Linked DNA regions of Oryzias latipes. The protein of the gene in region 3 purifies or fractionates together with the protein of the main gene of each other region. This does not show direct contact. Links are inferred from orthologs where the notes say so. Each region holds a gene or a part of one and is shown on either strand. Other genes may lie near its edges. The genes, in order: heterogeneous nuclear ribonucleoprotein D0-like, ncbp1 and dhx9.

Region 1 (6,813 bases), on a different chromosome or scaffold from region 3:
GTTCAATCTCAGAAGCTTTTTCTGACAAACACTCCACGATTTGACAAACTCTAGCGATGAAACACAAATCCAAAGTGTTTAGAACGTTTTTATTGATGCCTTTTTAATGTCCAATACACTGTGTATATATATATAGAGAGAGTAAGTTCTTGACTGTCAACCTCTGTAATAACATGTAATATATGACAGACGATAAAATGAAGGAAAGAAAATCCTGAAACTTCGCAAAAAACACATTTTCTGTTTGATTTGTTGGAACCAACGATACACTTCAGTACTGGACTAAATGAAGCCACTTTCTAGCAGCAGTTGAGGACTCAACAGGGAAAGGAGGAACAAATAAATGCTAAAAGCCATCTAAACAAATGCAGAACACTGAAATATGTATGTAAATATGGAGGAAACGTAGGTCTTTTTGTTTTAAATGCTCTATCTCTACGTAATGACTGCTGCTGGATCATGGCTCCGGTCAACGCTCCTCCAGCGCTCTGCAGACGTTCATCACTCAAACCTGTCAAACAAAAAAGAAAAGAAACCCATCAGTCATGCGGGAAAAACAAACTCACTGAGAGAAATACTAAGAAATCTAGGAATCCCCTGTGTTTTTAGTGTCCAATATAAAAAACAAACAATTATTTTAAACATTTTACATCTTAAAAAAAAAAAAAAGCTAGAAGAAGTCTAAATGGAAGAAAGCTTCAGATTGGTCAAAAATACACATTAAAGAAAGCATTACATGCAAATGTCTGCAAATGTGGCGACACTCTGACTCATTTTTATCAAAGGTTGTAAGAAGAAAAATGTGTTACGGGAAAATTAACAAAAAGAGGAGTCTGTTCCATCGCTGTCAGTAATACAAAAACAGACCAATACAATTACACAACGTAAAAGCACTTTATCCCCCAACACAGTAGAGTCCGAATACGAACCAGCTTTAGCTGGTGGATTACGGGCTAAATAAAGAAAAACATTTTACATATGATTAGGAATGAATATATTAACATTAGGGAACTGGAAAATCCAGAGAAAGCTGTTCATATCCTTTAAAAAGCAAATAGTTAATCTTTCAGATTTAAAGTCATTACTTGTGGGGGAGTAAGGGCCTGTAAAAAATGACAATTACATGTGTAGATTTTACTTCTTTTTTTTGTTACATTAAATAACACTTTCAAAGAAATTAAAAAATGGAAAGAAAGATGACAAAGCTGGACGTGTCCCCATATTGTTTAGTTTAGAAATGCGGATACAGGATGTTGTAAGACCATACCAAATGGCAGCATTCGAGAGCGTATGCTTCTCGTACCCGGTCCGCATTGAGCGGGCCCTGAGAGTATCTGGGAGTCAGCTCATGGCCTGCAAGGAAGCTCCGCTGGCAGGTACAAACAAGGTATGTCAGTGTTAGGAGACAACATACTTCCTTTTGTTTCCTTGCACATCCTTAACTTTGGCATCCATTTTACTGTAGTAGCAGTGCTTTACCTGTTAACTTTACACTTAAAAAAAGAAAAACACAAAGAAGAGGCAGCAGAAAGGCCCGCCGATAAAAAAAAAAATCAATCGCCACAAGAGCGTAGCCTCTATGTTACCACTACTGTAAAGCACTTGAGGGTGCTGAGAGAAAGAAATTTACGCAAGAAAATTATACAAAACAATTACAAACACCAAAGTTAATGTAGCTAATTTTAGTTGAGCAGCAATAAAGTTGTTGTTGTTTCTACATACCTACTTGACGGTGAGGGTTTGCCTCTTTAATACGGTTTGTAACTGTTGGTGTGACCGCCACGCCGTGGCGACTTCCCATATCCGCCCGACTGATCTGAAAGGGGAAACGCCAGAGCCAGCGTTAGGGCGTTTTTACAGAGGACCAAAGCGCAGGCAGGCCTCCTCACTCACCGTTGTAATCGCCATATCCGTAGTAGTTGTTGTATCCAGAATAATCGTAGCCTCCGTAGCCCTGATTACCGTAACCGTAGTTGCCGTAATTTCCGTAGCCCGGGTTCCAGTAGTTACTATAACCCTGGTTCCAGTTCTGGCTCGGGCCTGCGGGTCACATGACTTACACCATAAACAATGTCTTTCAACCCAGAAAAGAAAACGCTTCAACGTCTAGAAATGACAAAAACACTTTCAAATCTTTAAAGACTCTTTAGATTAGCAAAGTCTCCAACACCAAAGTTGTTGCTGGCCACAGCAAATAACACACTCTTCATCAACTACAGTAACTCTTTTACCATCAACGTCATGACTGTGACTCTTTTAAAGATGTAAAGAAATTGAGTTAAAGCCGTAACTCTGACCGTTTACGGAATTAACGTAATTATTTTACTAATGGAAATTAATGACATTACAATTTGACTTTGACACTATTAACACAAGCCTGTTTACGCAATTAACGTAGTTCTTTAAGATTAACGTTAAATTAACGTGATTATTTTATCAACGTAAAGAAATTATGTCAATACCGTAACCTTAAACTGTTTCCGAAATTAACGCAATTTTTTTACTAACGTCAATACCTTACCACTTTAACCGTTTACGAGATTAATGGCTTTACTAATGTAAAGGAATTATGTTATAACTGTAACTCTTACCGTATATAAACGCAAGTCTTTTACTAACATAAGGCAATGACGTAAACACCGTAACCGTTTCCGAAGCTAGCGTGATTATTTTACAAAAGTAAGGGAATAACGTTAATACACTTAACTCTTTAACCATTGAAGAAATTAAGGTGATTCTTTTACTAACGTAGGAATTACTTTAATACTGTAACCTTTTAACCATTTATGTAAATAATGTAATTTTCTGTTAGCGTTTACAAACTGTGTTACTACTGTAGGTCTTTGACCATTGATGGAGTTAATGTAAATCTTCTAATGTAAAGAAAATGCGTTGACACAGAAAGTCTTTGACATTTAACGTAACTCAGTTTTTAGCGTAAAGTGTTGCACATCACGGTAAAGCAGTTTGTCACATCTTCAGAATCCGTTGGAATTACGTTAACTACGTAAACAGTCGACAAGTGATGGTCATTTAAAGTGGAGCCAAAGCTCCGGCGTTAACAACTGGAATTAGCGTCTAATCTGGATTAAGACGACTGTAAACTCTCACTCACCGCCTCCTCTTCCTCTGGACCTGGACGAGTATCCTCCTCTGCCCCCCCAGTACTGCTGCTGCTGGTACTGCTCCTTCGACAGCGCCACCTTCACTTCGCACTGCGGCGGCCCATCATACAATTCACTTCTTTTAGGGTTCACATACTTTGTTCTGGTCTAAAACTTCTGAACCACTGTGTTACAACAGTGACTCACAATCTATACATGAACTTTATTTGAATGCAGTCAGAAGATACTATTTTGGGTTTAATTAAAAACATAAAGTTCTTACATATTTTATTCAGTCTTCAGTCTGACAGTTCCTAAATGCAACAGCTAAATATTCCCAGATTCAAGAGCTCTGTCCGTGTCATGGTCTCACTTAGTCCTACCTTGCTGAGGCCGATGTTGTGGTACTTCTTCTCCATGACCTTCTTCACAGCCTCCTCTTCTTTGAATGTGATGAAGCAGAAGCCTCTCCGTTTGTTGGTTTTGTTCTCCATGGGGAGCTCGATCGACTCCACCTGTTGACCAAAACAAGAAGCTCATTTCTGAGGCGGACTGGACGACTCGGGTCGGCGAACAGCAGGATGTCCACAGCAGGTCTGCAGGCAACTACAGGTGCGTTTAGTCACAAACACACCTGTAGGTCTTCCTCCATGATTCTTCCCACGTGTCTTTTTTCCTCAGAGTTTGCTGAAGCAGCAGATAAAAGGTTAAAGAAAGTGAAGAAATAGATTTTATTGTTCCCATGAGGCTCATGTTGGCAGCTGATTTGCTGAAGTCTGTTAACCAGTAACAGTTTAATGACTTTGTGGTTAGACATAAGCCCCTGACTGACCTCATGAAGGCCTTTTTACTGGGCACTGTGGATTAACTAGCCTAAATGGGACACATACGTGCATTGGATTCTAGAGGAATCGACATGAATTCTGTCCTGCAGTTCAGTTTCTCTGTTCCTGAGTTTGTCTTTTATTTTACTGGCAGCCTAAACATTTGCTGCACTGACACTTCACAGAGTCCTGCACCATAAGAGGTGAGACAGGAAACGCTTGTCCTCCTGTCAGAGCAAGTTTCAAAATAAAAGAGCAAAATGAAAAAATAAACCTGAAAACCCCTGAGAGCGTTTTTCACAAAAGCACAGAAGCCGAGAGTGCAACATTTAATGACGAGAATTAAAGAAAAATACAGAAGAATTACACAGTTTAGGGTCTGCAGTTACGCTTTAGGTCTCAAATTGGACGCAAAACTTCTGAAAGTTCATAAATAAAAAGAGTAAATCAAGTGTGTCAAAGGATAAAAACTGGTTTAAGCTGAGTAAAAAAAAAAACGACACGAACCTCTCCAAAGGCACCAAAGTACTCTCGGACCTTCTCCTCTGGGGTGTCTGGAGACAAACCACCAACGAAGACTTTCTTCACCGGCTCCTTGCTCTTCATGGCCTTGGCTTTTTTAGGGTCGATGACTTTTCCGTTGAGTTTATGTTCCTTCTGTGACGCCACCTTCAGAACAGAAAGCAGCAAATACATAAATAAAACTCACTAAATGACACAACAACAACAAGAAAAAAATCAAAGCTGATGTAATAATTAGAAACAGAATATAGAAGGAAAATGTTGAGGCGTGTCTCCACAGAAATCTGCTGCTCATAACAACATCAAACGTAAAGAAATATTTCAAAAGGCTGACGTGTTCACTCATGAGTTTGTCTGAAATCTTCTGAATTTATTTGATAAATAATATTATTGCTTTTTTTCGCATGAAGGAAATGACTAAGCCTCCAAAATAAAAGACGAACTTGGAGCTGAAACAGTTAAATGTTAAACTGCTTCACTGATTTATTGTCAATTCAGTGTGATTCGAACAAATATGTATTTATTTCAAAAAAGTTGTGAAACAAACTTTTTTTAAATGAGTTAAGTTAATCTGCACGTATCTGTTGATTTAAACTGAACAAAGGTGAACGTTTTATGAATAAATTCTTGAATGTTTGAAATTCTTGAAAAATAAAAAATAAAAAGCTGCTTTTTAAAAAAGTCAAAACAGAAGACAGTGCTTACAAGAAAATTTCCTTGATCTGAGAGACATTTGATTAGATCAGACTGTTTTTTTCAACACCACCCCAGTAAAAACAACATTTAGGTATTGAACAGAATCGAACCTTTTCCACACTTTCGGCGTCTTTGAAGAGCACAAAGCCGAAGCCCCTGGAGCGTCCGGTCATGGGGTCCAGCTTTAATGTGCAGTCTACCACCTCCCCGAACTTTGCAAAGTAATCTTTCAGGTCTTTCTTCGTGGTGTCCCAGCTCAGGCCTCCAACAAACATCTTCCTGCCAGCAAAAAAACATTTGGAAGGAGATCCGTGGTATAAGTTTGTGTTTGTTGTGACCCAAGTCCTAACTATAAGAATCTTTCCTCGGGTTGCTGCTGGCATTTTCATTCATAAAATATAAAACGAGTGAACAGTGTGATGAAAGAAGTGAAACAGAAAGAACTGAAGAAAGCCTCTTTGTTTTTATATGACCCCGAAGAACCCACAGGGTCAAATTTGGCAGCTTTTCCTTTTTTTTAATTTATGTTTTTATGTAAATTATGTTTTTCTATTGTGTTTTTTAGCCACAGTTAATTGCTGCTCCCCGAAACAAACAAAGAAACTTTCAAATGAACTTCAAAGACCCACTAATGAAAAAGGTGTTTGGGGTATTTTTAGCATGTTCTTGTAGCATTTTTCTGATGATGGACGACATTTATGGTAAAATTAAGCTTAGACTGTGTTTCTGAGTATTTCTTTATTCAAATCGTTGTGCATCAGGGGCAGACGAAGAGTTTGAAAAAGATCATATTTGTGATGTAGAAAAAACACGCTGGGCGGGGCCACAACCTCCCTGCTCCTCTCCATTCTAATGCATCCACTTACATACAGACTAATAGATCCATCTGCAAAGCTTTGTTTTCCTCGTCTGAGCTGGAATCTGGATCTGAATTTGTTGCCCCGCTAATGGTAGCTTGGGGTTGTGAGAAGCCATAAGCTAGCAGGAGGGCTTGTGAATAGAGACCTCTCAGTTAGGGTGATGGGGGGGGGGGGGGGTCTGTGCCAATGGTCCCGCCCACAATTTAGAGGTGAATTTCTAATAAACTCCCGCCGCTCTGCAGAAACTAAGTCTTACAAAAAGACAGGTTTTTTTTATTTAGCTAAAACGGTATAATCCTAATCAAAATAAACGCCAATACATTTTTGGAACTCACCAAACGTTGCCGCAAATATAAAACAATTTGAAAATAACTACAACAAATGTGCGTCCATGGATCAACAGTGCCGTGGATAACCGTGCAGGAGCTTTCCCGGTCATCCGAGCTGTATGTCCCAGAAGTCTCTCTGGGAGTATGTTTGTATGAAAGGCTCCCCGCGCGGATAAACTTACCCTTCATCTTCTTCGTTTTTGCTGGCGTCGATCCTTGATCCCTCGGCCTCGTCCCCCATCAGGCCGCCATCCCCCTGAGCTGACATGGGGTCGTCATTGTTAGCCTCTCCATCCTCCTCCATCCTCATCATACTCGGGTCTTCGCTAAATTCATAATCCTCAGACATCTTCACTTTTTTCTCGAAAAGATCAAATGCTAGTTCTAATGAAATGATTTTCGGAAAAAAAAAAATCAAAAGTAATTTTGAGCCAAAAAAAATTCGATTTATTTTAAGCTAACAGCCAAGATAGTTGCT
Region 2 (8,178 bases), on a different chromosome or scaffold from region 3:
AAACGTGCGGTGATGCGATTATCGTCACCCCCCCAGTCTAGGAGCAGTCTAACCTCAAACAACTTTGAGCAATTGGGAAGTTTTTGGGAAAAGGTTGGTTTTAAAGATTGTAGTTGTTGAACAATGTTAGCGTGGCGAGCTCGCAAAAGTGGCGTTGCCCTATGTCTCGCACATTTTTTGCCGTAGCATTGTGAACATTTAACACACGAACCGTTGGCTCAAGCTGAATGAAATGATTTAGCATGTGATATAAGAATAGTAAATATGTTACCATGGTTACCAAAACACCTATGTTGCCAAGTAAATCCAAAGGTTTACTTTTGCAGATTCTTTTAAAAATTACAGACCTGTACGTGACCCACAGGAGACCCAGAAATAAAATGGTTGCTATGGAGATAAAACCAACATAAAACCGCCATTTTGAGAAGAAGTGGGTTTTTTTTTTTCCATTTATGTCCTGTGCGGTCCTGACCAGGCTGGCAGAGGCAGAATGGGAAGAACTAGTGAGGTTTCTAAGTGACGTGGTGTGGCCAGTGAAGGGGGGTGGAAGGGCGGCGGCGGGCGTAGCAGCTTCAGGCCATACTACTACACTTGAATTTGTCCTTTGAGTGAATTCTTGTTGAAGTGAACATGCATGAAAGTGTTAGAGAACAGCATCTGTACCTCATCGACTTCTCCAGAACCTCTTTGACAAACTTGGGCTTGGGTTTGTCCAGGTCCACAGTCAAGCAGTCGGCCCTTCACACGGAGGAAAAAGTGTCACAAAAGCGGAAAAAAAAAAAGGTTTCAGCCACAGAACGACAGGAGTTACGCACCAGTCGTCCCAACTCCACCGGAACTGAAAGTTACTCAAGTGATGAGCAAACCAGTTGATAAATCTGTTAAGAGAAGAGAAAAAAATGTTTCACCGAAAAGACTTCAACACCCAGAATGCATCCTGTCTGTGCAGAAACAAACCTGTCCATGCAGCTGGTGTTCATGGTGTCCAGCCTCATGTAAAGCATTTCTGTGGCTTGCGCCAACTTCAGGTCAGTCAAGGAACATCAGCTAGTTTGGTTCAAGAAAACTTCAGAAACAAAACGGCTAAAATGATCCAATAAAATCCAAATTTATCCCCCCCCCCCCCCCCTTTTTTTTGCTTTTTAAAAATATATGTTATAAATGTATTCACATCTGATGATTCTGTTTTAACAAAATGACTTTTTAAAAATAAACCCAAGATTTGTTTAATGGAACCAGCCGGCTCTGCTCTTCTGTTTTCTGAATGGTTTACTTTGTTTTTAATTCCCCAAAGGAGTTTTAAATCTCCACCATATCTTGGGTTTACATCTTGAGTCCTTTTTGAGTTTTAGATCTTTTTTTTTTATAGCAAACTTTCCAGGATGTGTAGCCTGATGACCTGAGCTGCTGCAGAATCTGGTTCATGCTATCGAACCACGATCAAAACCAGTTTTTAAATGCAGCAAACAGAAAAAGAAGAGTCTGAACAACGCTTTAAGCGCTGGACGAACATTTGGGGACATTTGCTTCGTGTCTCATCGACCCGATTGTCTGACCTTCCAACTGGTTTTGACAGCGGAAGCATCAGGATACGACTTGCGGTAGCGACCCCGGCTGTAATTTGCAGAGCTCGATGAGCAGAGAGGTGTACATGACGTCGATGTGCGGCGGGGAGGGCAGCTGGAAGAGCTCGCCAAAGATCACCTGAAATGCAGAGAAACCGCATGACGCAGCAGTTACGCTTCGCGCTACAGGAGGCTAAAAGAAGGGAAGTTACCTCTACGATGTGATAGTTGAGCGGGATTTTATTCTTTCCTGGATAGCTGAGTAACTGAGCAGCACTGGGGGACAAAAAAATACAGAGAAATATGAAAAAGAGACTCTCAGTGTGAGCCGGCGTCGTTTCTTCACAGGTGACGGCGCCTGATCACCATGTTTTCCTTTCCCTCCAGTGAGTTTTGATGATGCAGTGGAGGTTTTCTTCAATAACAAATCTCTCCACAGAATGGCTGCCGGGCATGACGGGTCCCTGCAGGAGGCGAACACAAACACCGGGTCAGAACCGCAGCGGCTGTTTTTTTGTGAGCGGTCGGTCCGGGCGACTGACCTCCGGGGCGTCGGTGTAATCGAACATCCGGAAGATGACGCGGGGCATGGGGTACTGGGCGTCAGGCATGTGTCCCGGCGGAGTGAAGGGGGGCAGGTTGTGCTGCAGGGCCTCGCACAGGACGCTGTCGAAGGCGATGTACGGTCGGAGGATGTGGCGCTCCTGCCAGCGGTCTTTCTTCAGTTTCTGGATCTGAGCCCAAAGGCAGTCCAGGTACTGAAAGATGGAAGCAAAAGGGACGAATTCAAACTCATTTGGCTGATTTTCACCCTCCTTTTAGTGACTTGAAATGTTAAATACTTCTTTTATGAATTATGACATTTAGTTTGATCCTTTTTTTCCTTGCATGTGTTATCAGCAGACCCAACAATTTCACTGGGGGGGGGGGGCAGTGTGGCCCATTCTCCTCTTCTAGTTTTCCTATGCCGACGTTCCAGCGTTTCTCCTCACAGGAGTCGTTTCTCTTTAAAATTCTTCAAAGCAATCTGGATTTTTTTCCCCCTTCGATCCTTCTAATGCATCTTTTTAGACTTGCGTTTCAAAACCTGCTTGTCCAAAAGGCTCACCTCTTCCTGTGGATGTGGTTTCTCAGCGGTCCACACCTGCAGCATGGGGACGTGAGTCTTCACCCTCCTCCTGTCCAGGAACACAGCAGAGCGCTGGAGTCAGTCCAACAACAGCTTCAATGGAAAGCAAAAGATGCTCCAGAAAAGAGGCCGCGTCTCACTTGAGGTAGCCTTCGATCTGGCTCAGGAGTCGGTCCATCTCCACGTCCTTCTTCTCATAAAGTTCCTTGCCGACCCACGGCAGGCAGGACAGAACCACGTACACGAACCAGTCCAACCGAACCTGGAGCCAAAAGGGTCTCACGCTTACTGATCTTCATCTTCAAGTCAAATTGAGAAGCTGAAAAATCGTTTTTGTATAAATCTAAAACTATTTTTACACAGAAAACAATCATTTTTATTTTTGATTGGACTGCAGTTCTCCCAAAACCAAGTCATGGAATTTTGAGTCGTCATTGAGAACATCAGATGATACAAAAATAAAGGAGTTTGCTGAATTTGAAATGGGGAAACTCAGACGTTGCAGTAAAACAAAAGGAGGCGCCTTAAATGTGACATTAAGTAAAAAAAGAACGGGATGTTCATAAACTGAAACTTCTGATGCAAACAAATATTCCAGGTGAGGCCGTGCAGAAACAAACCTGTGGCACATCTTCTTCCTGAGTAACACTGATGAAGTTTTCAAACATGGCTACCATGGAAGGGGCAGCGATCACGTGACAGTTGACCAAGTCTGACAGAAAGCGCACCTGAAGAGAGCAGAGAACTTAAACGATGCCGAGAGCAAAAGGCGCTGCAGCAGCTGCGAGTTTAGACATTGAACATCAACAGACCAAGTAAACGGCTTCGTTGTAGAAGTTGTTTTTCAGCGTCTCCTTCAGCTGCCGGATCATGGCCTCCACAAACTCTCCCCCAAAGTTGTAGTTCCTGGCGTTCAGGAGGCCGACTAACGTCGTGTAGACTGTCAGCTTCTCCGGCAGGAGGCGGGCTCTGTCGAAAGACGCGTTTGTGAAAACGGACCGTTTGTTACGCTTGAGAATGAGGAGAACTGCGGACAACTTACACTGCACATAAAATACGCAGGATTTTGTTTTTGTAGTTTGGAAGGTCCGCCTCCAAAACCCCTGCGAGCCCCTCCAGGTTGCTCTCGAGGGACGATGTACTCTTTTAAAAGATCAAAGACGGACTTTAGTTATTGCAAATTATTTAAATAGTAAATATATGGCTTTATGACAAAACGGCCATCGTACTTTTTCTCCAACGCGACATATCAGCGACTCCAGGCGGTCTTCAATCTCAATAGGCTCTGATGTTCTCCTCCTTTTGTGGGCTTGACCTCCTAAAAATGAAAAGGACAGAACTTAAACCTCTGACCTGAGAGGACACTGAAGACAGAAAAACAAATCTACGTTTTGGGGGGAAAATAGTGTATTCGTCTCATAAAATCTAGTGTTTCGACAGTCACACATACTCCATCTGACTTTACTGGAGGTTTCCTCCTATATACTTTAGGTAAACAGAAGAAAAATGGAGAATATTGTGTCTAGGGCTAAAGACAAACAGTTGGACGTCAGCCTGCCGGAGAGCCTCAGAGACCGTAGAGATTTTTCAGAAGAAGCACAAAACCCATCTTTTTAACATCGCTTTGAGATAATTTCATCTGGTTAAAATAAAGATCTGATGTCTAAGCAGGACTTGGCCAAACTTGTTTATGTGTTAAGTCGATCTTTAGTCGACTTGACTACTGTTCCAGTGTTTTTGCTGGACGATACGGCAGCGTATTCAGAACTCTGCTGCTCGGGTCCTTCAAAGGAGCCAAATATTAGACCACATCAGTCCAGTTCTGACCTGTCCGGTAATCTGGATCTGCTCTTTCGTCAGTACCTAGAGTCGAAATCAAACACGAAGAAGCTGCATTCAGCTTCTATGCTCTGTAGATCTGGAACAGACTACCAGAATTAAGCCTTGGATCAGCTGAAACACTCAGTTTATTTAAATGCAGGTTGGTATTTACTTCAGTTCTTTAAATTTTTATTTTGGTGATAACTCCTTTAATATTTCTGTTAAATTTTTCTTTTAGTGTTTTATGTAAAGGACCTTGAATTGCCTTTGTACATAAAATGTGCTTAAGAAATAAACTTGCCTTGCTGATTCTCTCCTTACTGAAATCTCTGAATGAAAGGTAAACACTCAATGGAAGCCAATAGAAGTCATTTATACATACAATGACAAATACATACTAAACTAATCCTACATTATATAAAAATATTGTTAGGTCTGATATTTTTTTAGTGTGGAACCGTGAGACACTTTGGTTGTGAATGTTCCTTTATAAATCACAAAATCCACAGGGCTGTAACATCACGTTTCCATGCGCATGATGATGAACCCACAGAAAAAGTGTCTCTTTCAACACTTACGCCAGTCTTTACAAACATTAAATGTGTTTTGTGTGCCAGAAACCGTTATAAAACATAAATCTGGCCGTTAGCGTTAGCTAAAGTAGCTAACTAACGGAACCGGGTTTTTCTGGTAAAACTTAATCTCTTAAAAATCATTTTTTAAAATCCCCTAATTTATTTAGTAGCTTTAAAAAAATACTTGATATTGGGGCAACGCCTGCTATCGTTGCATTCCTTTAAAGTTATAGCACATACAGATAATCAAGGTAGCTGTAGCTAGCTGCCGCGTTAGCCGTAACGTTTGAATCGCACATGCAGCGCGCGACTTGCCGTCACTGTCGTCGCTGTGTCTCCTCCTGGACATGTTGTCCCCCCTGAGCTGCACGCGTGCAGACACCCGGTGTAAAAAAAATAACGCGGGACAGACCGGTGGATCCGGGAAAAGCTTTGCTTATTTTGAACGGCAGAGTCCGGAGGCGGCAGCAGCAGCAACAGCAGCTTCTTACAGAGAAATAACAGCGGAGCGATTGAAATGATGGACATCCGGGTCATTCAAGGTACAACCGGAAGCTGAACTTCCACTTCCGGTGAGCTGCACACTCGCATGGAAATACAAGGGTATTTACCGCGTTTGAGAACTTATATCTCTCTTTTTGTCAGTATTTACGCGTTCTATCACAAAGTTGCGTTTTTTACGATCACAAACATATTTGTCGTGCATTTAATTTGCCAGTTGAGGAGAATGGCAGCCAGTGAAGCAGTCTGCTCAGAGTTTCTGAACTGGGAGGTCAACACGTCGATGGTTGATCATGGATCAATTAAGCAAAACAAACACATTTCTGCTGCTCACAGAAAATATTACAGGTTCTGCAGGAGAAAGGTAGGAGAATATCTGGCTTCTCTTTCCACAAAGACAACGCAGAATGATTGAAAACAGAATAAAAAATGACTAAACTAATCTAAACTAAATATTGATTCTGACCCAATTCTGGGCAGTTTGCATCTTTTATATATTAGTAATATTATTACTACTAGGTAGTAATATTATTACTACCTAAGGTATTCAAGACATGAAAGTTAGAGAATATCTTTGGTATTTGTTTTTGTTTTTCTGTGTATCAAATCTAATCAATCTTTATTTATGTAAAATTTATATAATTCTAGAACATGATAACACAAAGTGCTTTACACCAAAACAAACAACATAAAAAAGGCACAACAATTTAGAAATAGATCCTGTAGTTAAAAACATATTTGACCATTTTACAGTTGAAAACTCACCTTTCACCAGGCGTTCATTAAATGATTACTTTATATTTAGTGAGGCACATTTACCTTCTGTCCTGGGACAACAAATAGAGGGGGGGGGGCTTTTGGCCAACTGGTAAATTTGCAGAGAGGCTTTTTTTTAGTGTTTGATGTCACAAACAAACAAATACATAAAAAAAAATTTGTTGCTTCTTTTAAATTGTCACTTTAGACATATAAAATTCTTCCCTGTTTTTGTCATAAACAGATTATTACCGTTTACCGGACCAAATAGATGTAAATCAATGCTTAAATCATTTATAGATATGTAATATATTTCAGGCTTGATCAGAGTATTGACAGGCCAAAATTTGGCTCATTACGTAAATATTGACGTGAACCTCAATGATGATGATGATGATGATGATGATTCAAGACATCACATTTAGAAACTCCTTTAGTCGGTCCAACTTTTTTGGAAACCATATATTTCTGGAAGTATTTGAAACAGAATACATTTGCTTGATTGAGGTAAATGCTTTGATTCTTTTTCCTTTTCAGTCTTTTGCCTCGTTTGTGGCTTCAAAGATCTGCAGTGCAGAGGCCGGCGCCTCCTGGTGCTGCTGCGGCCAGACCTTCAAAGAACACTCTGCCGTTCACAAACATGTGGCCAGAGCACACGCCGCCGAAGTGCAGCAGCTGGCGCAGACGGCGTTCCAGGCTTCGCTGAGCCAGCTGGCAGAGGAAGAGCAAACACAGCGGCTGAACGGACGCGAGGCAGAAGAAGCGGACGTTTCTGTGTGGATCCCTGACGTTAGCCACGTCCCAGCGGAGCTGCTGAAAAAGTAGATCAGGGTGTCACGTCTGCCGCAGACGCGATGGGAAACACTCCTGACGTGTTCTCGTTCTCCTGCAGCGGTCCCGGCAAGGTTCTCCTTTACTACCGCTACTGCGAGGTGGAGGATCCGCACGTCATCTGCGCCTGGCAGAAAGCTCTGTGTGAGAGGCTGCAGTTAACGGGGAAGGTGACCACAAACTCCTCCGTAGGATCCACGAGGAGAAGCTCTGTTCTGAAGTGGAAGCTCTCTGCAGGTGAGGGTGGCGGCAGAAGGAATCAACGGGACGGTTGGTGGAACCGCCGTGGCCACGGATCTCTACACCAGGGCCATGATGTCACACCCCCTCTTCCAGATGGACCGAGAAGATTTTAAGGTAAAGTTTCTGAGATGCTTTTCATCTGTGGCTACATCAGGATTAAGACACTGGACTACAAATAGACTTTTTAAACGGTTGTATGATTGTTGATGGAACCAAACAGCAAAAAGAACACATTTAAAAAAAAAAAAAGAACTGTTTTCCATTTAAAGAAACCGATCTGTAGTAAGAAAACAATGAAGTGTAAAAAAAAAGAATTAAATTATCTTAAAATTATGCATAGCTACAAACCACATTGAAATTAGTTTCTCTTAAGCAAAAATATCTATATGTATATTTATAAAACTTGGGATAAACTGTCATGAATTGATCGGAAAATGAAAATATTAAAAAGTAAAGATGAAGAAATCCACACAGATATATATAGATTTATATACACTTCCATATATAAATACATACACGTGTAAATGATGCCATTTTTATTACTCTCAGACATATTTTAAATCCGTTAAATATTACGTTTGTCAAAAGGACTTTTATGTGTTGGAAAAAGAGTGGGAGGAAGCCAATGTATAGAATTCTGTCTCTACTGTCATCATAGTCATCATAATCCATAATCTTGTTGTCAGAGATATTTATACTTCACCTGTCCAAGTGCAGATTAATGAACAAAATGATCCTAGTATGTAAACTTTGAGTC
Region 3 (8,178 bases):
ACACCCTGCTGGCTGACATGGGTGAGTCACTGTCACTTTTGTGACAAAAGGACAAACACATTGCAGTGCGCTGCAAGTGAGTGTTTTTATCCAGCAGGGGGCGGTAGACAGAGTCCCTACCATCTCTGGTAGCACCTCTGTGACTTAATGTCTTCTCCTCAGATCGTTCTGCTGTGGGTGATGATCAGCTGAAGCAGCTGGAGGACTCGCTGTCTAGAGTTCGGGAGGAGGTGCACGGCCGTCTCAGGTCCCGGCTGCAGGACATGCGGGAGCAGGAGGACGCTCAGCGCCGCCAGCTGTCTGGGATCAGCATGGACTTGGACCGGCTCCTCGCCGACGTTGCTAACCTGGAGGAGATCCTGAATTCGGTCCCCAGTGGCTGCTACAACACCGCCCCCATCGAGGAGGCCTGAACGGCGCCCCTCCTTGGAGGAGGAACTGAAGATGAAATGAAAAAGTCTCCAATATTTTGCACAAAAATATGATCTCTCTTTGTCTTAGCCAAACTTCTTCGCCAGGTGTTGCCTTCACTGTCTCATGGAAATGTCAGTTTCAAAATGATCTGGTTTGCTGTTCTCTGATTCTGGCACCTGATTTTACAGCAGCAGATGAGAGAACTGTTGATAAATCTGAATTTGTTATTTATTCAAAGCTTGAAAGAAGATTTCAGAAAAGGCAATATTTCAGAGGAAGAGATTTATTCATGGAAGAAGATTTCAAAAGATTGAAAAGATGCTTCTCTAACAGGAATAAGCATCTGATTACAGAAAAAAATAAGAAAAACCAATTCAAATGTTCAAAACTGAATTAAGATTCCTTTGTTGAAGAAGGAAAATTCTGTGTGGACTTCTGAATCTCTTTTATGGTTTCTAACCGAAGCAGTAATTTCTCCTTCCTGCTTCTTTTCTTTGTCATGTTGTTATAGAGTTTTTACCTGATCTGTATTATTTCAGAGCCAAATAAATGAAAGTATCATTGTTTTTCTAGTCTGTTGGTTGGATCAGTGTTTGAATCTGAAAAGAAAAGACAGAATATGTAAGATGGGGCTTTAGAACAAGACACACTGGTTTCACCGTCTCTGTGACTACAGCAGGTTTCTGCCAGAGCCTCTACAGGCGTTTATGGCTACTCTGCTCAGCGACTGACCACCTCAAAAAACTGGATATGGATAGAGAAAGCGTGGTTTTCTCTCCTGTGAGGTTCCTGTCTACAGCAGTAAACAAAGAGCAGCAAAAATGTGCAATTCTATTTCATACTATTGGTTTTATCAGGACTATAAACAGGACAGATTTTCTGTAGATTCTGTAGATTAAATCTTCGGTTGACACTGAAAAAATAAAAATGAAATAAAAATCTATGGTTTTAAGCTAATAAACCTTACAATGCAGGTCATGTTACAGCTATGTCATTTTATAAGAGAGATCTGGTTTTTTCTTAAATTAAAATCAGATGAGAAGTTTAGAAATTAGACAAGGATTTGGTCATTTGAAGATTTTTGTTTTATAAAAATAAACTGATTTGTTAAAACAAAATTTATTCGTGAGAAAAACAATGGAACATCCCACGTAACAAAATAAAAGGTTTTTGTTGACTTGATTTAAAATATAATTTACATTTGGAGTCCATATTTCGTGCTCCAAATATGAATCACACAGAAGCAAGATTAATATTTCCATAGTTGTTACTCGAAATTTGAACTTCTGATTGTTTATGGAACTTACATAAATGCTGAATTGAATTCATGAAGGAGAAATTGTGAAAAATTTTCATTTATTCATTTATTCATTCATTCATTCGTTCGTTCATTCATTTGTTCATTCATTCATTCGTTCGTTCATTCATTCATTCGTTCATTCATTTGTTCATTCATTCATTCGTTCTTTCATTCATTCATTCATTCATTCATTCATTCGTTCGTTCATTCATTTGTTCATTCATTCATTCGTTCGTTCATTCATTCATTCATTTATTCATTCATTCATTCGTTAATTCATTCATTCATTCATTCATTCATTCATTCATTCATCTTCTTCCGTTTGCTCCCTTTCGGGGTCACGGGGCTGCCAGAACCTATCTCGGCCACTTGTGGGCGAAGGCAGGGGGCACCCTGGACAGGTCGCCAGTCTCTCGCAGGGTTGGAATAATTTTAATAATTTAAATTTGATTACAGCAACAACAACAAAAACTTACACTGATTTTATGAATGTTTATGACACAGTGGCCACTTATAATCCTTGTGGACAATGGGTTGATGTTAACCACAATGTAATTTGAGTAAAGGAAACCAACTAGAGTGACAAAAGACAGAAATCTAGTTCTCATCCCAGTAGAATAAAAAAAATCATCATGCAGAGGGGCGTTGATAAAAAAGGATCAACTCACTGCCAGGAGCTAACAGTTCATTTCACCTCCAGAACAGAGGGTGGCGCTGTTGCGCGGTAGAAGAGTTCAAAGCTTCCGCTGTTGCCGCTTTGCAGGAATCTGCACTGCAGACTTGACTGAGCGGACGGTAGGTGTTGAATGTAGTCGTTGATGTTAGAATGAAAATGTTTGCTTTTTTAATATTTATTTTGCATACGTACTTCGTGTCTTACTGGCGTTAGTTAGTTTAGCCTCAATGCGTCTGTCAACGTTTACACCGGTTGATGAATGAAGCTAACGTTAGCATACTAGCATTTTCGTTGTAGTTGTCTCAGTTGCAACTGATGATTCAATGTGGGATCAATTGGGGAAAAATATTGCATGGAGGATCACATTATTGCTTGATGATAGGAGCTGCACGTGGCTAGCTGAAGTATAAAAACGGTCAAACATTTCCCCCGTGACTTAGTAACGTTAGTGTTGTTATCGTTTCTCCCTGTGTGTGTGTCGGCGCACATATGTTTTTCTGTTTAGGGTTTCTTTTACGACACGCACGCAGGCAGCGGTTTACTGTAGCTTCCTGAACAACACTGTATGTTTTGATGTGACGCCTGCCAGTGATTCTGCGGTTGTTCAGAGCCACCTCTGTGTTTTACAGGCAACACTAAGGGACCAGGGCACACCTGAAGCTCGCAGGTAAAGCCCACGCGGAGCTGGAAGCTCGCCACTATGGCGGACATCAAGAATTTCCTGTACGCCTGGTGTGGAAAGAAAAAGCTGACTCCCAACTACGAAATCCGGGCGGCGGGCAACAAAAACCGGCAGAAGTTCATGTGTGAGGTCGGTCTGCATTCACAGCCAGCTGGTTTGTAACCAGACTCTCCCGTAACGTCTCTGTTTGCTCCTGAAGGTGCGGGTGGATGGCTTCACCTATGTGGGGATGGGAAACTCCACCAGCAAGAAGGATGCTCAGACCAACGCCGCCAGGGACTTTGTCAACTATCTGGTCCGAGTCGGGGAGATGAAGGCTGAAGAGGTTCCAGCTCTGGGGGTCAGAAAGCTTTTTTTTACGCTTTTTTAAAGGAGATGTAAAAACAAAGCAAACCAGAGGAACATCTTTCCAATCAATAGAGCATCCAGCTATGTTCAGGCCAGAACAGAAAACCATTTAGAAAGTCAAGATCCATAAAGACTGGGAGACTGCAAGGATTAGTCAAAAGTTTACCAGTGGGCAGCGAACACTTAACCGGAACTGACGGCCTTTTGTTGTTCTACCCAGGCCGTGGCTCCAGAACCCAACCAGCCCGAAGGACCTCCGGGAAGCTTCGGAACCCTCCCAGCCAGCGGGCCGCTGCCCCCCCACCTGGTGGTGAAGGTGGAGAAAGGTTTGAGCCGAACACACCTAACCTGCTGCTCCCTGACTTCAGTCCTCTTCATCCTGTGGTTTCTGTTTTCAGAGGCTGATGCCTTCATCAATGCACCTCCAGGACAGACTGAACAAGGGTTCCCTCCTAGAGGTGGCAATGGGGGAGGAGGAGGAGGGGCTGAGTGGGACAGAGGAGCCAACCTGAAGGAGTACTACGCCCGGAGGGATGAGCAGGAGGCTCAAGCGGTACTGGAGCCAGCTATGTGCCATGAAGCTGCTTTTCAAGAAGATCCCGGTCCTTTTGAGCTGTGTTGTCACATGTTGCAGTCACATGACTGTGACAACATTAGGCGGCTTCATAACAGGTGGGACTGCTCTGCCTTAGTACCGGTCCCACTAATGCGGCTCTCCTGTTGTAGACGCTGGAATCCGAGGAGGTAGACCTGAATGCAAACTTGCACGGAAACTGGACCCTGGAGAACGCCAAGGCCCGTCTCAACCGGTTCTTCCAGCAGGAGAAGATCACCTCCGAGTACACGTACAGCCAAGTGGGACCCGATCACAACAGGTCTGGATCAGCGCTCCCCTACAAGCCGTCTGACCAGATCCAGCCTGACGAGCCCAGGTCTCTCGTCAGTCTGGATCTGGTCTTTTCTGCTGTTCAGATCTGTCAGGTGGGGGTGGGAGAGTGGGGTATTGACAAATGAACTCTAATTAAAAAGCTGCAGCTTCTCGGGTTGGTAAATGTTTCCTCTGAAAGGGGCCACACTCCTGGGCCCGCCGCTCACTGGTAGCACCTGTGTGTTTTTCTGCCGGACTGCTGCAAACCCAGAGAGCTCCTGCGTGTGCCGGCTACACCGGAGAGCCCTCACAGCCACATGCTCAACTCAAAGCCTGCAGAGCGACACTAGAACTCACGACCACGCTGAGGAAATACATGGGGATGGCGTTTAGGTTCTCTAAAGCCCCCCCATGGGTGCAGCTCCGTGGTCTCTGGTCGTGATTTGTGGTGTTGCTCTTCATTGTAGGCTTTAAAACCTGAAAGTCTGGCAGAAAAACGCCCAGGTTTCTTTCTGAGGACACATCAGGTGAGTCTGCTCCTGAGGGATGCTTGGCTTTAGGCTTTTACTTTGAAAGGCACGGGATGTAACTCTGCCATGTTATTTGTCTGCAGGAGCTTCATAGCAGAGATGCAGCTGTTCGTGAGGAAGCTCGGCAGAAGTAAGTTTTGACATGTCTGTACATGAGACCACAGAGACGGTTCTGTGCTGAGATTCTTTACGCTTATTTTAGCAGAGCCAGTAAATAGAAATTGGTGCTTTCCTTAACAAATAGAAAACCTTTTCTCTTGTGTTTTAAGTATCAGAAAGCTTGTATTTTTTAGCATTTTGAAATTTTTCTTAAAACTAAATGACAAAAGACTAATACCGGCAGAAACCAATTCTTTTAATAAATATGAAACAAACGAATCACCCCTCAAATAGGAATAGTTTACTTTCTCCCGCCCCATTGTGCCTTCAACCCTGTTGAGGTGGATGCAACAAAAACCAATCGATTTTGATTCGTTACTGCTGTGCAGAATCCTACGGGTGATGTCAGAGATGACTCCGCCCCTTTTGTGCTGTGTTGTTTACAGAGATCACGGCCCGCGAACACGGATCTAACAAGAAGCTGGCAGCGCAGTCGTGCGCGCTGTCGTTGGTGCGACAGCTGTACCACCTGGGGGTGCTGGAGGCGTACACCGGGGTCACCAAGAAGAGGGAAGGCGAGACGGTGGGAGTTTGTTTTAAATAAAATCCTTTAAAGCAGAAATAAGCACGGATGAAGGTTTGACTCTTTCTGTCATGTCCAGCTGGAGCCGTACGACGTGAACGTGTCTCCTGACCTGCAGCTGCAGCTGAATACTGTGGCCAAGGAGCTCGGAGTCGAGATCCCCCCACCGGTGAGTTCTAGAAGTTCTCTGAAGCTCTGTGCAGCTGGGGATGATCTGATGATCCCTGGGCTCATTCCAGTCTTTAGACAGTCTTTAGTGTGGGCTTTTTCTGCGGTGAACTGTAGATGCTGTTCCCCCTTCTGCCTGTGGGGGCAGTAAATGTGGGTCTAGTTGACATGGATGCTTGTGTCTTTTAGCCTGAAGACCCCAGCTGCCCAGTGTCTCTGATTCAGGGGAAGATCAACACGTTCGAGCCATCGACGCGTCAGAACAGTGCCGGCGTCGTGCCCTGGTCCCCCCCGCAGGTTAACTGGAACCCCTGGACTAGCAGCAACATTGATGAGGGCCCGCTGGCTTTTGTAAGGCTTTTTCCTGCCGCTCTGGAAGACCTCAGAGTCTGAGCAGACACTGACACCATCGTGTCTAAATGTCGTTCCCTCTTTCTAGTGCACCCCTGAGCAGATCAGCGAGGACTTGCGCAATGAGCTGATGTACCAGCTGGAGCACGACGACTCTCTGCAGAAGGTCAGTCCCGCTTTATTGGCGCTCAGGCGGTGCTCTGCACTCTGACTGACGCCGTGTTGTTTAGATCCTGGCAGAGCGCGATCAGCTGCCCGTCAAACAGTTTGAGGACGAGATCATGGGGGCCCTGGAGAGCAACCCGGTGGTGATCATCAGAGGAGCCACAGGCTGCGGCAAAACCACGCAGGTTCCTCAGTACATCCTGGACCACTTCATCAAAGGAGGGAGGGCGTCTGACTGCAACATTGTGGTCACCCAGGTAACGGAACACAGCTGAGAGATGCCCGTGGTCCCTAGCCATGCTTATGTGCTGCACAGAATGCTAATTATCTGAAAGAACTGAGACTGCTAAAGAAAAACCTTTCTAAACAATTACACATTTAGCCAAAAATTATTTATTTTTATGTCAAAAACAGAACTTGATCAAATGCTTAAATACTGACTTTTAATCTCCAGATGCTAACTTTGAAGCCAAAAATATGAAATGTTCTGCTACCATTACTTAATCATAAGAACGGTGAGCAAAAATCCCAGAATCACACGGGGGAATCTAGTGAAGGACCTGCAGAGAGCCGGGACTGAAGTAACAAAGGCTACCATCTAGGCCTGCACAGTATACCGCAAATTTATCGTTATCGCAATATCAAGCTGTGCAATATGCATGTCGCAAAAGACTGCAAATTTGTAATAAATGGTTACCTTAGATGTGGCCAAACAATCTTATGGCAGCTTGAAGTGTTTAATGGATTGAAAGAATCCCTTTCTGCATTTGACCAATCAGATGGACCCCTTCACGTTGTTAACTAATCGGATGGCGCCCTATTATGTTGTATGTTCGCCTCCTATGTCAACAAGGGTCATTTGTAGTATAATTTTTAAGCTGTTGTAATGGAATGGGAATAATATTTTTGATTGCTTTGCTAATTGTTTAAATACCGCAAATTATATCGTTATCGCAATATTAATTACTAATATCGCATATCGCGAGTTTTCTTCATATCGTGCAGCCCTACTACCATCAGTAACACACTGTGCCACCAGGAACTCAAATCCTGCCGTGCCAGACGTGTCCCCCTGGTAAAGCCAGTACATGTGCAGACCCGTCTCTATTACTAGAGAGCATTTGGTTGATCCAGAAGACAATTGGGAGAATGTCCTGTGGTCAGATGAGACCAAAATAGAATTTTTTTGGTAAGAACTCCAATCATTGTGTTTGGAGGAGAAAGAACACCATAGCTACTGTAGGGCATGGGGGTGGAAACATCATGCTTTGGGGCTATTTTTGATGAATGAATAGGGCCATGTATTGTCAGATTTTGAGTGAAAACCTCCTATCAGAAAGGGTATTGAAGATGAAATGAGAATCTAAATAAAACCAAGTAAACCTATTGGGTCTCAAACCCCCTTTTTTTTTCTTCTCAGCTGAACTTTGGTCGTTCTGACCCACCTTTGGTCATTAACATTTTTCATGTGTAAGCCCTGCAGAAAAGCTTTTGCAGTTCTTACAGCAGTGCACATGAGACTGTTGTTGCCATGAAGACTGTGATTTTCTGTTTTGCACCATACTGTCGTGCTCTGGCTAAGAGTTCACATGCACAATCTACTGTTGTGTCTGCAGCCCCGTCGGATCAGCGCCGTCTCTGTGGCCGAGCGAGTCGCCTATGAGAGAGCAGAGGATCTTGGGAAAAGTTGTGGCTACAGCGTGCGCTTTGAGTCTGTGCTGCCCCGTCCCCATGCTAGCATCATGTTTTGCACTGTGGGTGCGTGAACACCTCAAATTTCCCGACCCAATAATGCCCTTTAAACTCAGTCGAATGAATTCTAAGCAGTTTCCTTATTTTAGGATTCCTCCAGCCTTTCCTCTCTTGAATGTGGTCTTTGATTGGCTCTTTCAGGCGTTCTGCTGCGGAAGCTGGAAGCTGGAATCCGAGGAATCAGCCACGTCATCGTGGACGAGATCCACGAGAGAGACATCAATGTGAGTTCCCGTTCAAAG

What was found.
Region 1: the proteins of dhx9 (region 3) and heterogeneous nuclear ribonucleoprotein D0-like purify together in Homo sapiens (affinity purification with mass spectrometry; 3 studies listed by BioGRID and IntAct, with this or other methods). This does not show direct contact. The link is inferred for Oryzias latipes from reciprocal best matches to the Homo sapiens genes DHX9 and HNRNPD.
Region 2: the proteins of dhx9 (region 3) and ncbp1 purify together in Homo sapiens (co-immunoprecipitation; 3 studies listed by BioGRID and IntAct, with this or other methods). This does not show direct contact. The link is inferred for Oryzias latipes from reciprocal best matches to the Homo sapiens genes DHX9 and NCBP1.

The regions. Positions count from the first base shown.
Region 1 is NC_019870.2:2,821,087-2,827,899, forward strand, and holds the end of heterogeneous nuclear ribonucleoprotein D0-like, read right to left. Parts: 5' UTR 6,685-6,813; coding exon 6,518-6,684; intron 5,426-6,517; coding exon 5,257-5,425; intron 4,598-5,256; coding exon 4,436-4,597; intron 3,620-4,435; coding exon 3,488-3,619; intron 3,216-3,487; coding exon 3,116-3,215; intron 2,041-3,115; coding exon 1,894-2,040; intron 1,817-1,893; coding exon 1,749-1,816; 3' UTR 76-1,748; downstream 1-75. UniProt on the Homo sapiens protein: Binds with high affinity to RNA molecules that contain AU-rich elements (AREs) found within the 3'-UTR of many proto-oncogenes and cytokine mRNAs.
Region 2 is NC_019868.2:27,749,505-27,757,682, reverse strand, and holds the start of ncbp1 (nuclear cap-binding protein subunit 1), read right to left. Parts: upstream 5,440-8,178; coding exon 5,406-5,439; intron 4,013-5,405; coding exon 3,924-4,012; intron 3,838-3,923; coding exon 3,737-3,837; intron 3,664-3,736; coding exon 3,507-3,663; intron 3,423-3,506; coding exon 3,315-3,422; intron 2,957-3,314; coding exon 2,835-2,956; intron 2,744-2,834; coding exon 2,674-2,743; intron 2,324-2,673; coding exon 2,108-2,323; intron 2,030-2,107; coding exon 1,932-2,029; intron 1,842-1,931; coding exon 1,778-1,841; intron 1,705-1,777; coding exon 1,594-1,704; intron 1,023-1,593; coding exon 958-1,022; intron 879-957; coding exon 816-878; intron 739-815; coding exon 664-738; intron 1-663. Other genes in the region: tstd2 (thiosulfate sulfurtransferase/rhodanese-like domain-containing protein 2), read left to right, coding at 5,680-5,955, 6,885-7,168, 7,240-7,348, 7,416-7,535. UniProt on the Homo sapiens protein: Component of the cap-binding complex (CBC), which binds cotranscriptionally to the 5'-cap of pre-mRNAs and is involved in various processes such as pre-mRNA splicing, translation regulation, nonsense-mediated mRNA decay, RNA-mediated gene silencing (RNAi) by microRNAs (miRNAs) and mRNA export.
Region 3 is NC_019875.2:12,668,865-12,677,042, reverse strand, and holds the start of dhx9 (ATP-dependent RNA helicase A), read left to right. Parts: upstream 1-2,411; 5' UTR 2,412-2,509; intron 2,510-3,019; 5' UTR 3,020-3,090; coding exon 3,091-3,201; intron 3,202-3,271; coding exon 3,272-3,412; intron 3,413-3,640; coding exon 3,641-3,746; intron 3,747-3,818; coding exon 3,819-3,973; intron 3,974-4,146; coding exon 4,147-4,295; intron 4,296-4,755; exon of another isoform or gene 4,756-4,815; intron 4,816-4,901; coding exon 4,902-4,948; intron 4,949-5,363; coding exon 5,364-5,500; intron 5,501-5,579; coding exon 5,580-5,669; intron 5,670-5,857; coding exon 5,858-6,019; intron 6,020-6,107; coding exon 6,108-6,185; intron 6,186-6,249; coding exon 6,250-6,441; intron 6,442-7,800; coding exon 7,801-7,942; intron 7,943-8,077; coding exon 8,078-8,160; intron 8,161-8,178. Other genes in the region: laminin subunit gamma-2, read left to right, coding at 1-21, 163-413. UniProt on the Homo sapiens protein: Multifunctional ATP-dependent nucleic acid helicase that unwinds DNA and RNA in a 3' to 5' direction and that plays important roles in many processes, such as DNA replication, transcriptional activation, post-transcriptional RNA regulation, mRNA translation and RNA-mediated gene silencing.